2 linked regions of the Xenopus tropicalis genome follow. The protein of the gene in region 1 interacts with the protein of each later gene in a biochemical or structural test. Links are inferred from orthologs where the notes say so. Each region holds a gene or a part of one and is shown on either strand. Other genes may lie near its edges.

The links.
Region 2: the proteins of lrp1 (region 1) and plat form a complex in vitro, tested with the Homo sapiens proteins (2 studies listed by BioGRID). The link is inferred for Xenopus tropicalis from reciprocal best matches to the Homo sapiens genes LRP1 and PLAT.

Annotation. Positions count from the first base shown.
Region 1 is NC_030678.2:139,398,035-139,406,182, reverse strand, and holds the start of lrp1 (prolow-density lipoprotein receptor-related protein 1), read right to left. Parts: upstream 4,797-8,148; 5' UTR 4,394-4,796; coding exon 4,303-4,393; intron 1-4,302. UniProt on the Homo sapiens protein: Endocytic receptor involved in endocytosis and in phagocytosis of apoptotic cells. Required for early embryonic development. Involved in cellular lipid homeostasis.
Region 2 is NC_030679.2:130,555,668-130,563,714, forward strand, and holds the start of plat (tissue-type plasminogen activator precursor), read right to left. Parts: upstream 4,741-8,047; 5' UTR 4,697-4,740; intron 1-4,696. UniProt on the Homo sapiens protein: Converts the abundant, but inactive, zymogen plasminogen to plasmin by hydrolyzing a single Arg-Val bond in plasminogen.

The DNA.
Region 1 (8,148 bases):
CTGGCCTGAAATTGGCCAGATATCGATCGGCCAGGTTAGAAAATCCAGTCGGATCGGAGACCGCATCGGCTCCTTGATGCGGTCCCCAAACAGACTGCCCCATTGCCGCCCCAGGGCCAAACGATCAAATAATTTTTTTTTTACCTAAACTCTCCCCGATATCGCCCACCCGTAGGTGGGGATATCGGGGGAAGATCCGCTCGCTTGGCGAGTCCGTGTATGGCCAGCTTTACACACACTTGGGAGACTTGCACCTCCCCCCTTTTATATAAAGCCATAGAGAACAAGTATATAAAAAGGCAATTTAATTAATAGAGGGTATGAAGAATTTATTGAAACAAACAGTCCAATTTATTTAACAGATCCATGTAATAAACTCTCCAAAAACCTATTCACCAACTTGATATTAGAAAGTTACCCTTCAATCCCTAAAATGTACTCTGGAAACTGTACAGTCAAACACAGTATGTTTAGGAACCACTGGTATCTAAGAGCAACTAAAGGCCAAAATCATGTTTGCCCATAGCATTTTACCAGTGCATATGGTTGCACAATTACAGTATCCATATACAGTCAAAGTTTGGTTTTTGATCTCTTCACATTCCATCATCCTGGACTGTTGGCAAATCCGTTAAAGCTCTGGCACCTCCCCAAATTCAGACATATATGAGAATGGATAATAAGTCCTCAATAGATACATGTCATTATTTGTCTAGTTTTAAAGAGGTTTTCAGATTACAGGGGGCTCTTGTTCTCAGCTGGGCCCTTGCTTACAAGTTGAAGGAAGAATTTCCAAGCAAGGCTGGGTGCCATTGGTGGTTAAAAAAAAAAAAATAATTATATATTATATATATATTATATAATATATATGTGTGTGTATACGCCAAGCGAGCAGATCGGGCCGATGCGGTTCCCGATCCGACTAGATTTTTTAACCTGCCCGATCGAGATCTGGCCGATATCAGGCCAGATATCGGTTCGGCAGGCCCGTCGGTAGTGCCCATACACGGGACGATTAGCTGCCCAATCAGTCTAAGGGATAGATATCGGCAGCTAGAATCAGCCCGTGTATGGGGACCTTAAGTCCTCTTTCACGGAGGCCTTCATTGCTATATGCTGCACATAACTTGATCCATGAGAAGTCAAGAGGCCTAATATAGATATGTCCCATATATTTTATAACCTAGGCAAATACCCCCATACCCACATACTATGTCTGTATTCCACCTCTTACAGGGAATGCCTCCTCCATTACCAATTATAGTTCTAGCTCAGGGGTCCCCAACCTATTTTACTTGTGAGCCACATTCAAATGTAAAAAGAGTCAGGGAGCAACACAAGCATGCAAAAGGTTCCTTGAAAAATATGGGTAGCTCCTATGTAGATTGGCAGCCTACAGAAAGTTCTGTTTGGCAGTACACAGTTTTGATGCAACTAAAGCTTGCCTTCAAGTCAGGAATACAAAAAGAAGCACCTACTTTGAAGACACGGAGAGCAACACCCAGTGGGTTGGTGAGCAACATATTGCTCACAAGCCACTAATTGCAGATCACAGTTCTAGCCAATTGCTAGGGTCAGATACAATACCACTTGCAACAGCCCTACAAATACATCTGCTGCCTGTAACAGGACTATCTGAATGAAATTCACAGGTTAAATATGACCCTCAGTCCAATACTCATGGGTCCCAACCTGCCAAAGGGTTCCTGTTGTTGCTTTGTATGAAATCTTTGTTCCCAGAACACTGGGTATAGTAAATATAATTGCACAGCACTGGTTTATACTCTGTAAAAATGACCAGGCCACCACCTGTATCAATATGAGACACAAGAGCTGCGCTCAATGACGCATGGAAAAAAACAAAATAGAACACTATCATATAATCCATCAATTGTACCCTTCCTCTTTGTATTTTAGAATGTCAGTCTTTTATAGTAATTGTATAATTAAGGTCGGCAATTGATAGTAGCTATCGTGCTAACTGATAAAGCCCCAAGCCAACGGTACAGTAGATCGCGGCAATATGGACATATATGAGAAAATTAGATAAAACCAACAAGCCTAGCAGTCCACTAGTTGTTATAGGTGCAAAAATAAATCAGGGCTCATTGGAGCTTCTATTACACAAGTGCATTCAGTTGCTGTTCTATGATGCTGTTATTTGTTCTGATCTTGACCCAGTTTTGAAATCGCTATCAAGGGGGGGGGGGGGGGGGGAGAGAAACAAAGAGGACAAAGTGGCCAAAGCTTATTTTTCATAATACAGGCATGGGATCTGTTATCCAGAATGCTTGGGAACTGTGGTTTTCTGGTAAGGGATTTTTTTTTAGAGCTCCATACCTTAAGGGAGCCCATACATGTACCGGTACCGATATTACCATACAAAACAAGGTTTGTAACGTGTATGGCCATCTTAAGTCTACTAAAACATCACTTAACCATTACTTATTAGGATTATTAGGAAGGGTTTTTTAAGCTTAGTTACCATCAAGTACAAAGTTCTGTTTTATTATTACAGAGAAAAGGGATTTTTTTAATCAGAATTATTTGCTTACAATGGAGTCTAGGGGAAATATCCTTCTCATTATTCAAAACTTTCTGCATAAAGGGTTTCCGGTTAACAAATCCCATACCTGTACTGCTATCTTCTTCAGCAACAAGCAGCTTACAAGCAAACACAATATGTGTGTGTGTGATGTGTTTACATTTCATACACCAGCAAAAGTCCAAATTTAAAGCCGATTTTGGTTACTGCGTTGGAATATTTGCCGGAATCTTTAGTACTCAGAATGGATGAGGTGGAGGGGAAAAAAAAAAAGAAGTTAGCCAAATCCATCATAGCAAGAATGAGATCATGCAGCGGACTCCTCTAACATCTGGCTCGCAAACAAGACCCTATCCAATGAATCTCCCCTTCTGTCCCTGCCTGTGTTAAATGCCATGTCACGCACTGGAGGCGCACTGCAGCCCCACTGTGTAGAGAGGAAGCCGCTGATGTGGTTGCAGATGAGGTTTGCAAATAGCAAATGGAGATGCCTTCACAATGTCAGCCTTGTTTCCCTCGTCAACAACCCTCACCGTTTCCAAGTGATGCCATTAAGGAGAAAAAAAAAAAAAAAAATACACAGAATCAAACGCCATACTGTTGACAAAGAAATATACCATAACATTCATGCCCACTGCTTCTGACACGGCCCCTTTGTACAAGGCTGCAGAATATAAAGGTAGCTCACATGCCACTCACACTGGGCCTATGGACATGCATATTTCATATCCACCTAGATTGCTTTTCTGCATCACTAACTCACATACAGGCTAGCACTACAATTTCTAGGATGGGATTGGGAGCACTGGTTTAACCCACACAGGCACACATGACAGCATTTCCAAGGGGAAGAAATCCCAGAAAGCAATTCATTGTGCAACCTGGGTGAATTCAATTGGATTCAATACAATGCAAGAGGCAAAAGGGTTGAGTACAATTTCCACACGACCACAAAAAAAAAAAAAGTAATTCTGTATAGATAATGAGAAATTGGCTGCGTAAATAGTGTTTATAAATAGATAGCACGATTGTTAGATGGCAAGCCCATACGTCAGATGCGTTATAACTAATCAATAAAAAGGGATAGCCATTGATTTAATGAGATACACACACAGGCAGGCAAGAGAAGGGCTGATTCCCCCCCACCATGTGTGGATCATTTAGAATTTCCATCCATTATGAAACCACACAGAGCAATAGAAAGAAACCAGAGCTGTGTATGGAAGCTTTGCAATCAGAGGGGCCTATTCCTCAAACCAAATTTTTGCAATGACTGAAGAAAAGACCCTCACTTGGCCAGAAACAAAACAAATCACCCCTCCCCCTCTGGCAGAAAGGGGCACCTCTGGAACAGATTAGATCCAATTGCTACAATATAACAAGACAGTTCCTAACATTGCTCTATTTCATCTGAGGAAGAAACCTCGTCACAAACTGAAGTGGCCTGCAAAGCCATAACGGTAAGGGCCGACCTGGGCACATACACTACAGGGAATTCTGGGAAATGTAGTCGAACCTTATGGTATGAATGCGGCATAGAATGTAGGAAACGGAATATCGCTCAGTGTCAGGGCTGAATAGGTGTGTGTGTGTGTTACAGACAGCCATCCTAGCGTTCCCATTCCTGAGAGTGCGATCCGATTTGCAGGCCTGCAGTGAGGGATGTCAGCACAGAGAAACCTTTACCCCATTCCCCCTCTGCCCAGTCCCGAAGCCGCTCGGTTACAGGCGCAGCACAAAGCAGGACTTCTACTCACCATCGTTGACAGAGGTCGCAACAACGTGCAAGCAACAATACAGTAATCCCAATGCGATTCCAGCTGCAACATCTGTCCTAGGAGACGGCATTGTGGGGGGAAAGGACTAGCAGGGGTTAAGGTGGGGAGGGGGTGCCTTGATCCAGTGCTTGGCCCTCGCCTGGCAGCCTCCCTCCTCCTCTTGATGCCTTGATATCCAGACGCCAGTGGCCACAGAGGGGAAAAAAGAAATCACCCAAAAACGTGAACAATTAAAGGAGGGAAGGTGGGGAGGCTGAGGCCAGCAGCAGCAGCAGCAGGGCTGCCAATGGGCTGCACACTCTCTATTCCAGTGCTGGGAAGGGGTTGATAAAGGGGAATGGGGGGGTTGGAGTGAGGGGGCATATGCAGTCCTAGCGATTCCCCTTCTCGCCCGGCAATAGCTGCAACCTGACTGGATATCCCCCCTGATTATGAGGGATTGAGGAATCCAGCAGTGTTATTAATGAGAAGGGGAATGGCTGGGGAGAGACTATGTGTGGGAGGGAGGGGAGGGAGGGGGCGTGTCTTGTACGGTTAGCCCGCCCCCACCAGCTCTTGGGATAAGCAGGCTGCGGCTTTACAAGGGGGGCGGGGGTGGTCTCTAACCTGTGGCTTCAATGTAAAGCTTAGTCAGGGCCTGTTTTAGGGCCATTTGCCTGGGGTCCCTGCACAGTATTGATAAAAACACATAGAAGATAATGACAGTTTGTCTGGTGTATAATAGCGATGTTCACCCTGCAGCTTTCAATGTCATTAGAGAATTATAGTTTAACAAAAGCCGGAGGGCTGCCGGTCGGTAGCTCCTCTCAGATTCCTAGGGACCCTTTTCTAACTCTGGCCCTGCAAGTGGGTTCCAGCTTCATTGGCACTTTGGTTCATTTGTAAGTGGCAAAGATTCAATTAACTAGAAAGAAATCAGTATAGCATAGGTCAATAGGAGCCCTATCGCCCTATGTAATTGTGTAACTCTCTCCTGGCTCCTTTTTCCCTGGTAATAGTGCCTTCTGCCCAGGAATCCCCTGTCCCCTCCTCCCTGCCATTCTCCAGCATTCATTCTAATGCTCCAGTAGCTGATGTTTTGTCTTCTGTTCAGTGGCGGAACTAGAAGTTACTGGCCCCACAGCAAAATCATTTCAGGGTCCCCCTAAAATGTGGGAATAAGGCATTTTTTTTAAAAAATACTACTTATCTTACTACTTATCATTCAGCGCCTCACTGGGGCCCCTATATATTCTGAGCCCCCAATAGTAGCTATAGAAACTGCAGATACAGGAGTTGTTATCTGGAAATTTGTTATCCAAAAATATTAGTGCCATTTCCAATAGTGTCCTATATAAATATATATTTGTATACAATGGACTTGCTTTTTCTATAAGACAGTGCCTGACGGTATTAGGGGCACTACTGCCATAAAGCTGGCTAGGAAACTCACCTCAGGTGGCAGTGCCCTGAGCGTTACCAAGGGTTGAGTAAAGCCACTCCTAGTGACATAAGGAGATGAAATTCTGATTCTGAGTTGGCTCTTCTATTGCACTCTTGCACTAGCAATGCAACCCCCCCGACCAGCTCTGTCAGGAAAAAGCAGCATTGACCTGGCCCCCTCAGGGTGGCACTTAACCCTGAAACAGCGTTGGGCAGTATGCTTTATAAATCCATGGAGCAAATAACCAGTATCAGTATCAGTAATCAATACTCCTGGGCAACACTGTTTTGCAATGAATACTTGCCACTTTTAATTATAACGGTTGTACTTTTTGGGCATATAGAACATGCCTATACTTTTTTGGCGGGAACACACTTTAAAAAAAGCTTATATAAAACATATATATTTTTTCACTTTTCTAGAAAAATGTTCATTAACCTAACTATAAATAAAAATTATGCATCTCTCACATCAGTCCCTGCCCCAGTCTAAGGTGCCCATGGCATACACACACACAAACTATGGTTAATTTTATCAGGAGCCAATAACCTGTGTGTATATTTTTGGAATAGTAATGCTATTTTTATATTGGAAATACAACAGAAACTCTTTTAAAACCCCAGTCCTAAGTTCTTAGGTCTCAATCTATTCCTCTGCAGAATATGCAGGGGTGTAGAGGAAGAAGGTGTAAGGGCCTAACTGATAACACAGTGCAATAAAGAGAAATCTCCCAAAGTTTTGGGACAATTTAAGTTTCTAGTTCTGCCACTGAGTAGAAGAGAATACGGACACCTAAGATCAGCACCATAAAGACGCATGTCTGGCACTTACAGTGTTGTCAACCTTAAGAGTCACCCAACAATACAATACACAAGCCAAACACATAAAATGAATCATGAAAGATTAAAATGTTCTCCTACTTGCCATCTTTTGGGAATCCCACTGTGTGTTATATCCTGGACAAAATTAGACCACTATATGTGTCTATGTCCTTGTTGCTGCTTTGCAGTTGGTTCTGCTGTGTAAATGTAAAAGTCTCTTCAACAGGGGACCACTTTGGTTGCTAGCCCTTGTAACTGCAATCACCATGGAGCTCCTGTTGGGTCTCATAAAAAGGTGGGGATGTTGAGAGTGAGCTTGTATGAGCATGTCCCTATGTGTTTTCATTTTGCATTAAGTTCTGTGCCCATGTTAAAGATGTTTATGTCCAGAAGTTAATGTTACCATAAATCTTGTTTTGCAGATTGTTGAGATAGCTGGGAAAGTTGTTTTGCTTCCAGACTGTTCATGCTTATATAAGAGGCCATGTCTGGACTTTCCATTACAGTACAATGGGAGATCTAGTTGATAGGGGAAGCAACAACGCTGGATTAGTGTTGATTAGTCAGTTAGAGAATACATTTTTTTATGCATAGGTATAATGAGGTTCAAAAGTACACTTGGGTTTAAATCCACTTGTGTTTTGAAGTGCACTTTTAGTTTCAGAGTACAATGGAATCTGTGTAATTCCTTCAATATAATCAAGTGCTTCTGGGGACAAAATATTGTACTGTGGTTAATAAGGAAGTCTAACTTTTGTGTCATCTTGAGTGATTTACTTTTGAGTAACTACCTCCCCTTTTCATTCGTATTCATATAATTTTGGTTATTAGCTCCAGACACATGCCTTCTGTATTTGCAAATAATTCCACTGCCCCATATTACCACAACACTTTTACAAATACAGTATGTTTGTAAGCAGCTGTATCTCTGTACAATATAAGGCGTTCACTGTGAGAAGGGTAAGGCATGGCTAGAGCTAAGAATATATATATGCACTATATTAGGAAATATCTGATGGCTTTAGAGGTACTGGTAATCTGACTTTTGTCAGTAAAGTTTATATGTCTCATTGTGTGGTTATATTAAGAATTTATATATAGTTTTGGAAGGTACTTGAAAGCAAACAACATTTTTTAGAATTCCCTTATATTTATAGTTCTTTTTAAAAATTCTGCAAACCACTATGATATAGCTGGTCAGCTCGATCAGTGTAAATGTTAATAATAATAATAATAATTCCCCACACATTCACAGTCCAGCACAGCCAATGTAAATTCCTATAAACAATGTTGTAGTGATGTACTTATTGTTGGCAGCCAGTGCAACTGTGGTTGCTAAACTGTAGCTGTAGTTGCCTCACATTGACTGAGCTATTTGAGAGAGACTGTTAGGGTAAGAACCCACAGAGCGTTGAACGAAGTTGCCTGCAGGAGGACTTCGGATTACTGAAGTAATGTGAAGGGCTTTCCACTGGCGACTCAAATTGTTGCCAGTGGTTAGTCGCCCTCTATTGCAGAGATCTGGTACAGGCAACTGAACTGCTCCATGGGTCCTTACCTTTAGGGCTGTCTGGGAGTATA
Region 2 (8,047 bases), on another chromosome or scaffold:
TATAATGAGGAACCTTGGCACAGGGGGTGAGGACATAATAAGGAATGCATGTAAAGTAAATAAAAAGGAATAATTGTTAGTGTTATCACAAATATAGAGTGCAGTGCATTGGGGCAACAAAAACACAGATATAAGGGCTCATTTGGGCACAAGTGCAAGAGTTATGAGGCTCCCATGCACTGAGCCCATGGGATTTGCTGCTGGCACTTTGCTCTGGATTAAAACTCTGGTGCAAGGTGCAGAGCCCAAAGTAGCCCTATACTTAACACCTACAGTAGACAAGTGGTAAGTACAGTACTCCTTAGCACCTTCCACCTATTATCTGAATGACATACAATCTAGGGGCAACCACATTTCCCCTCATAAACACAGCACTGCTGTACATTGCCAACACTTTTTGTCTGCTTTTTTTGTGCAATGAAGAAGAATCTGTGCCATCTTGCCCTTTATTTAATAACCATTCCTACCAATAAGTTATCTAATATTTCCAAGATCAAAGTATCTCCTAGAATGTTCTTCTTCAGTCTGTATCCACTGCCCCTCAGTTTCATAATAAATGAACCCACCATGGCATATACCATATACCAACTTGTGGTTCTCCTATAACGCAACATCATCACAATATGTATTGTTGGAAGGATATAAGCTAAATAGAAGAGAATAAGGAAAAGTTACCGTTTAATGCACCCACCCCTTGCCTAGTTTGCTGCATTGGGACCAGGCATCTGTGATTCAGGAATGTCCCCCATTGTGAGTGTGCATTGTAGCACCTAAACCACAAGCAAATCATTGCCTGCAGGCGCTGTAACCATAACACTCCAGGAGACCATCACGTGGACATAGCCTATAGTTAGACAATCTTTCAGGAATTTCATTACTACCCCCCCCCCCCCCCCCCCCCATTTAGTCTATTATCGCAAAGAAATCCAGCACCATAAATCTACGACAGAATATGTTAGGGAGAGCCATATCCAGACTGCATATATGGAGAAATCAGTATCAATTGCACATTAATACAGGCCTGAAACTGTGTATTAAGTATCTTCATGTTTTGGTGTAACTTGTGAGGGCCCTGGGCCAGGATTATAAAGCAATGGGATCAGCAAAGACATTTCTAAATGTTTCATTTTTTCACTTTACTGCTTACTTTTAAGGGTGAAGACACACGGAGCTACTTAGTAGCAACTACTTGTCACAGCAGCTAAACACCTGAAAATCCCCTGCCATAGACAATACAGAGAATTGCCTCTGCTAAAACACACGTAGAGACAATTATCAGCATTGTCTATTTTAGTAGCCACAACAAGTAGCTGCTACTAGTAGCTCTGTGTATCTTCATCCTAAAGGGATAGTGCCATTAGAATAAGCCATGCCCAATACCTGAAACCAGTGTGTAATACTGTGTCATGTAGTGACATTCTAACACACTGTGCACCTCATTGCTCAATAGCTTACAGTCACTGTTTCTGTGAGTATCAAAGCTTACTTCCTTTCGGGCAAGCAACAACTGTCCTGTCTTGATTTATGGCAAGGGTTCTAGCCCCAGGCCTTAATGGGACCCAGCCAAGGACAATTCTCATCAGCCCTTTCTTATTCCCACTATAGTCCTATATGACACCTGGAGGTCAGGACAACTAGTTCAACAGTAAGGATCTGCTCCCTCCTGTCGTCACTGTCAAACTTATATCTTTGGTCAAATTCAATCCGCACACAACAGAACACAACATTTTGATTATTTCTACTGAGTAGCAGCATTCCAATTGTTGGAAAATGCCAAAGGTCACTTCCTATTGCCTTCCATGGAAAGCCTTTCAGCAGGAGCCAAAGATGGGGTGCCAGCCAGATCTGCACCCTTCAATGGAAAGAGCAACACCGTGTTATTTCTATTTTACCATTCAGTCAGTACAGAACAAAATGTGTGATCATTTCCATCTAAGTCTAAATTAAAGTCAGACTAATAATCTTACATCTGGATCTGATCTCTAAGTCTAGAAACAGGATCACGCACACCACAGACAGCTTGGGAGCCAAAGCTCTTGTGAAGTTTGGGTACCCTGATATGGTCCAGGATTGGTTTCTTGCCTTTTAAACTAATGCCAATCAGAATCTAAAGACTTAAGGTGCCCATACACACCTACGGGTGGGCGATATTAGGGAACATGTAGGCTAATTCGATCGTTTGGCCCTGGGGCCAAACAATCAAATTATAAAGGCGGCAATGGGGCAGTCGGTTCGGGGACCCCATCAACGAGCTGATGCGGTCCCCGATCCGACTAAATCTTTTTACCTGCCCGATCAATATCTGCCCAATTTCAGGCCAGATATCGGTCGGGCAGGCCAGTCGTTGCTGCCCCTACACAGACCGATAAGCTGCCGAATCAGTCTGAGGGACCGATATCAGCAGCTACAATCGGCCCGTGTATGGGGACCTTTAAGTAACCTGGAGCCAATCAGAGCATTCGAATGCTCATAATCCAACAAAAGCAACTACAAATGCCAAACTAAATTGTAAAACATATCTGTACCCATTCCCGTGTCTTATATCAGAGTTGTTTCTGGCAGCATTCATCCTATAATAATATTTACCATGAAGAAGGCTTTATCTTGTGCATTGCCTGCCATGTGTGTGATCTTTCTCTGCAGCATTAGGGGTTATCTTATCCTCGCACAAGGGTTATCTGCAAACAGCTCCCAAGAGCACAAATATGCACCAACGCGTCCCACGTAGATAACTACACTAAATATTTACACTATCCCACTCAGTCAACAACCAACATAAAAAGGGAAATATATTTTTGTACGTTAAAATGAAACGTTTGCACAAAACACAAATATTTTCCCAGTCCAGGGAGCAGTTACTAAGCTAATGCAGGACAGGAAGGCAACTCATATGCCCCGTAATATTAGCTAATACTATAGCGTGTTGTAACAGTTCTGACATGTTAAAAATAATTTTAAAAAATCAGCATCTCTCCAGCACTCAGTCCCTTCTACTAAAAGCAAAAGGGGGTTATGTAATAAAAAGCACTAACTTTGCCCAGGAGCATTCACCCATAGCAGCCAATCAGCAGGTAGCATTTACTGGTCACCTGTTAAAAAGCAAACATCCTATTGGTTGAGATTGGTTACTGCTCCTAGGCAAACTTTGTGCCTTTTATTACATATAGAGCTAAGTGACTTCTCCACAGAGAACACAAGATACTGAGGCAGATCCCTTGCTTCTAGATCTTCTCTTAGGGAATATCTCTTTTACTTTATTTTCTTCACAAATGCTTATTTTCAGCCTGCAAAGCCACTTTAACTTGTATATTTCTATTAAATAAAATTAAATTAAATACCTACAAGAATCGGCCAGTGTATGCTTTAGTCATGGCTGGCAGGCAACACACAGCAAGTTACAACAGTAACTGTAACTTCCACCAGTCTCTGGAAGCCAAAGGCTATTGGGGTGTGGTGCCTGTACTTTAAACTTCCAAGGGGCTACAGTAATGGCTGGTTTCCTCCAGGTCTGGTAACCACTACAGATCGCCTTAGATCAAACAACAAGCAAGCAAGAGGAATGCCCACGGAGTCTGCCAGAGTACACAGAAATGGCACAAAGAAGATGTCTGATATTGTATTTAAAATAGACGTTGTAGGGCATATTATGGTGAGAATGCGGGATTAGGAGTTTATTTTCACATATATAAACTGTGGGGCCTTACAGGAGGATTACATATAGTTGATAGGGGACGCAGTCTGAAGGACAGGGAAAGATTTGTGGGTGAGTTCTCATTTGCCTGGATACTGGAACTATGGCACTTTGCCTATTACGATCATGTTTCTGGAAGTCGTAAACTGACTTATAGACCAGAGAAAACCCATATTTTATAAATGGGATATACACTGGGGATCCCCCCATAAGCTGAGATACAGAGCAGAGAAAAGTCCTATTGTATAAATGGGATATACACTGGGGATCCCCCCATAAGCTGAGATACAGAGCAGAGAAAAGTCCTATTGTATAAATGGGATATACACTGGGGATCCCCCCATAAGCTGAGATACAGAGCAGAGAAAAGCCCTATTGTATAAATGGGATATACACTGGGGATCCCCCCATAAGCTGAGATACAGAGCAGAGAAAAGCCCTATTGTATAAATGGGATATACACTGGGGATCCCCATATAAACTGAGATACAGAGCAGAGAAAAGCCCTATTGTATAAATGGGATATACACTGGGGATCCCCCTATAAACTGAGATACAGAGCAGAGAAAAGCCCTATTGTATAAATGGGATATACACTGGGGATCCCCCTATAAACTGAGATACAGAGCAGAGAAAAGCCCTATTGTATAAATGGGATATACACTGGGGATCCCCCTATAAACTGAGATACAGAGCAGAGAAAAGCCCTATTGTATAAATGGGATATACACTGGGGATCCCCCTATAAACTGAGATACAGAGCAGAGAAAAGCCCTATTGTATAAATGGGATATACACTGGGGATTCCCCTATAAACTGAGATACAGAGCAGAGAAAAGCCCTATTGTATAAATGGGATATACACTGGGGATCCCCCTATAAACTGAGATACAGAGCAGGAAAAAGTAGTATATTTTACATTAATTCCCCATCACAGCACTGGATCTCAGAATACATTGTGTTCAGACGGCACCCATATTGTTTCATAAAAAGAAAATCTCTCACCTTGTGTCACCACAAAGAGGCTCAAGTTCCACGTAGTGTCCCTTCCTGAAATGAAGTGAGTGCAGCTATCACTCAGCTCCTTTATAAGGGAATTTAATGCAAGGGGTGGGTTACTTGGTATTTGTGTCAGTGGGAGATGAGGTCACAATTCCGTGATAAGGCAGATTTAATGAGTTCAAGAGCAAGTGACCTTTTTTTTTTTTCCACACTCTGAATTATTATTTCTATACCTCCCGCTGCTCACTTTCTCTTTCAATGAATAACCGGAAACCCCATGGCAAAAAATACAGGAAAATAACAGTGTCTGTCTCAAAATAATGGGCTCCAGGGCGTAGGGGAGGAAGAGAGGGTGGCAGAGTCTGGGCATTCAAGTGAAAATTGAGCCATAAAAATGGGGGTGGAGGTTGTAAAAAAGTGTGAAGAAGTGATATAGAGATAATGTGTGCAATAAAACAGGATCAGGATGGAGGGGAGGAAAAAAAGTGAAAGAAGGAAAAACAAACAGGACCCAGTGACTTGCAGAAAAGCATAGGCTGCTGCTTAGGGAGTCCAGCTGGGAGTAATTCTAAAGGATTATTACTGTTTGTCAAGCATTCCTTGGCACCGTGCTTCCATAAGGATTTGACTATGTAAAACTGTAGGGAAAAAAACTGCTGTTTAAAAAATGTAAAGGTCAATCTATAGATCCTATGGCAAAGGGTTGCCTTATGCCTTAATGCTACAAAAACAAGCATGTATTAACTTGGACCCTTTACTTGCCCATTAAACTCTTTGAAGGCTGGCAGGGCCCTTCTGATTAGAATTTAGCATTTGGCCTCAGAACATGAGCTGCAGACTCACTAAGCGCTGATGCATTGCAGCACTGGAGTCCTAGGTTCAATTCCAGACAGGGGTAAGGAGTTTGTATGCTCCCTATGTCTATGTGGGGTTTCTACTCTACTCCAGTTTCCTCCAACAACATACAGGCAGGCTAGCTGACTATAGTGAGAGTGATGGGGACATTAGATTGTAAGCTCTACTGGGGCAGAAACTAACTAATGTCACATGATGCATTTTCTTTGCCCTAAGAGCTCTGGCACATGGGGAAATTAGTCGCCCACAACAAATCTCCCTGTTTGCGGGCGATTTATATTTTCGCCGGTGGGACGGCATTTTGGGGAGATTAGTTGCCCGCGAACAGGGAGATTTGTCGCGGGCGACTAATCTCCCCGTGTGCCAGAGCCCTAAGTGGGTAATAAAAATGAAAAGAAACCACCCCCACACGTGGAGTTAATCTGCCCGTTAATACAAATGCATTTTCTGGCTGTGTAAATTCTTAGGAAAAGATATGGAAAACCCAATTGCTTAACGAAGATTGCAACCCGCCATGCCTACATAATAATGTAGTACAGTTGTATGCACAATGAGTACACACAATGAGTAAGACAAAATACATCTTTTTATGTTTACTTCTGGGAAGTATGAGTCTAATGTCACACTAGGTGATTTCTCTACTACCCAGTGTCCATTATAAGGGACATCTATGGTATCCACAGGTCACTGTGCACAGAGGTAGACTGACCCTAAAATATCGTTTTGGGGCCAAAATCGAGCCCCCATACACATTGACAGGTGTACACCATAGTTGTCGCTTATTATGGACACAAAGCATTGTTTCAATAATTGTTTTCTGCTGTTAAACACACAGACCAGAAATACAGTATGCATTTATTAGAAGGACCCCTGATTTTGCTGAGATCCTTAAGCTCCACATGGGTGGTATTTCCCCTGTGTTCCTGCCCTATGGATTGGTAATGTTCCAGGAAAATTCCGTTTTAGCTTCAGGATATTCTGTTTGTCTAAAATTCTGTTCAGCTAGGTGGATATGAATAGAGGAGCGGAAATAGGAATTGTATATATAAAGTGTGAAAGGAAGTCCAGTTCATGGCCATATCAAGTGTAGAAATCCTGCATTGGATACTGTTATTTAGAAGCTGGATACATGCGCAGACTGGACTAGATTTCTGCACTTACAATGCCTTCAGCCTGCATCCTCCCAATCCCACAATTCCCTGCACACATGATCACACATCACAGTGCATTGCATTGTTGGTTATGTAGTTCCTGCATGCTGTCTGTAAGCTGTGAAGAAGTTGTTCAGAAGGAGAATTTGTAACATCAATGTTTTAGTCCCTCCTCCCCTGCCAGGATTTCAAATGGTGAGAAAGAAAAGAACTGTTTTGCAGCTGGGTTTCAGCATATAAAACTAACCAACCTGACTGCCCCATCTCAACCTGTCAGTAACAGCTTCTAATTCTAAGGGACTACTGCAGCACAAATACAGCCGCCCCCTCATAGAAAACATTGGGCAAATACCTTTAAGGCAAAATTATATATAGAATGCAACGGCAATGTTATGATAGATGTAAAAAAAAAAAGGTTTCATTTCTGGTTTCAGTATCGCTTTAAAGTAAACTGTGCATCTTTTACTGTTTATGGTACCCATGTAAGCAACGAGGGGGCATCCAGCACCAGTTAATTACCTAACTACTTAACTACATAACCCATGAGCCTGCCTCAGACTGCCATTGTTTTATATATTAGCCATGGCTGAGAAAAGATGTCCATTAATCCTTTATTCCTATTAGTTCTTCTTTCCCCGCTAACATACAGAAGTCAGATCCATCTCTATATAAATGTTGTATTATAAGAGTTCATGCCTGTTCTCCCATGCTAAAACATCATCCATCTATTCTTTTAAAGGTATTTAACGTACAGTGTCTTTTTTTTACATTTGTGACTTGTGATTTGTGACATTTCTCCATAATTATAACCTAAAATATGACCCGATTCTTATAAACCCAAGGAATAAGAACCCAGTTAAACAAATACACTTAGATTGTAAGCTCTTCGGGGCAGGGAACTTCTTCCTACTGTCTCTCATACCACATGGCACTTACTCCCTGTGTATTTATGCATATTTATTGTATTTATTATAAGACTTGTCCTCCCTGTGTGTAATTGTGTATATTGTAAGATTGTACAGCGCTGCGTACCCTTGTGGCGCTTTAAAAATAAAGTTATACATACATACATACATGAATCAAGCACATAATGCTTTACTGAAGAAAAAGTTGCATATTTGTTGGCAAAAGTATATCACCCTCTATGACCCTGAGTTCATTTGGAGGGGACATGAGAGCTATTGTTTCACTGAATGGGATAATAATCAGGTGGGAGTGTGGGAGACCCTGCCTTATTTAAAGTACTGAAATCTGGCTTTTCACTATCCAAGTCCGATCTACACAACACATGTTTATGGAAGTGAGTCATGGCTTAAACAAAGATTTCTGAGAACCCCCGAAATGCTCA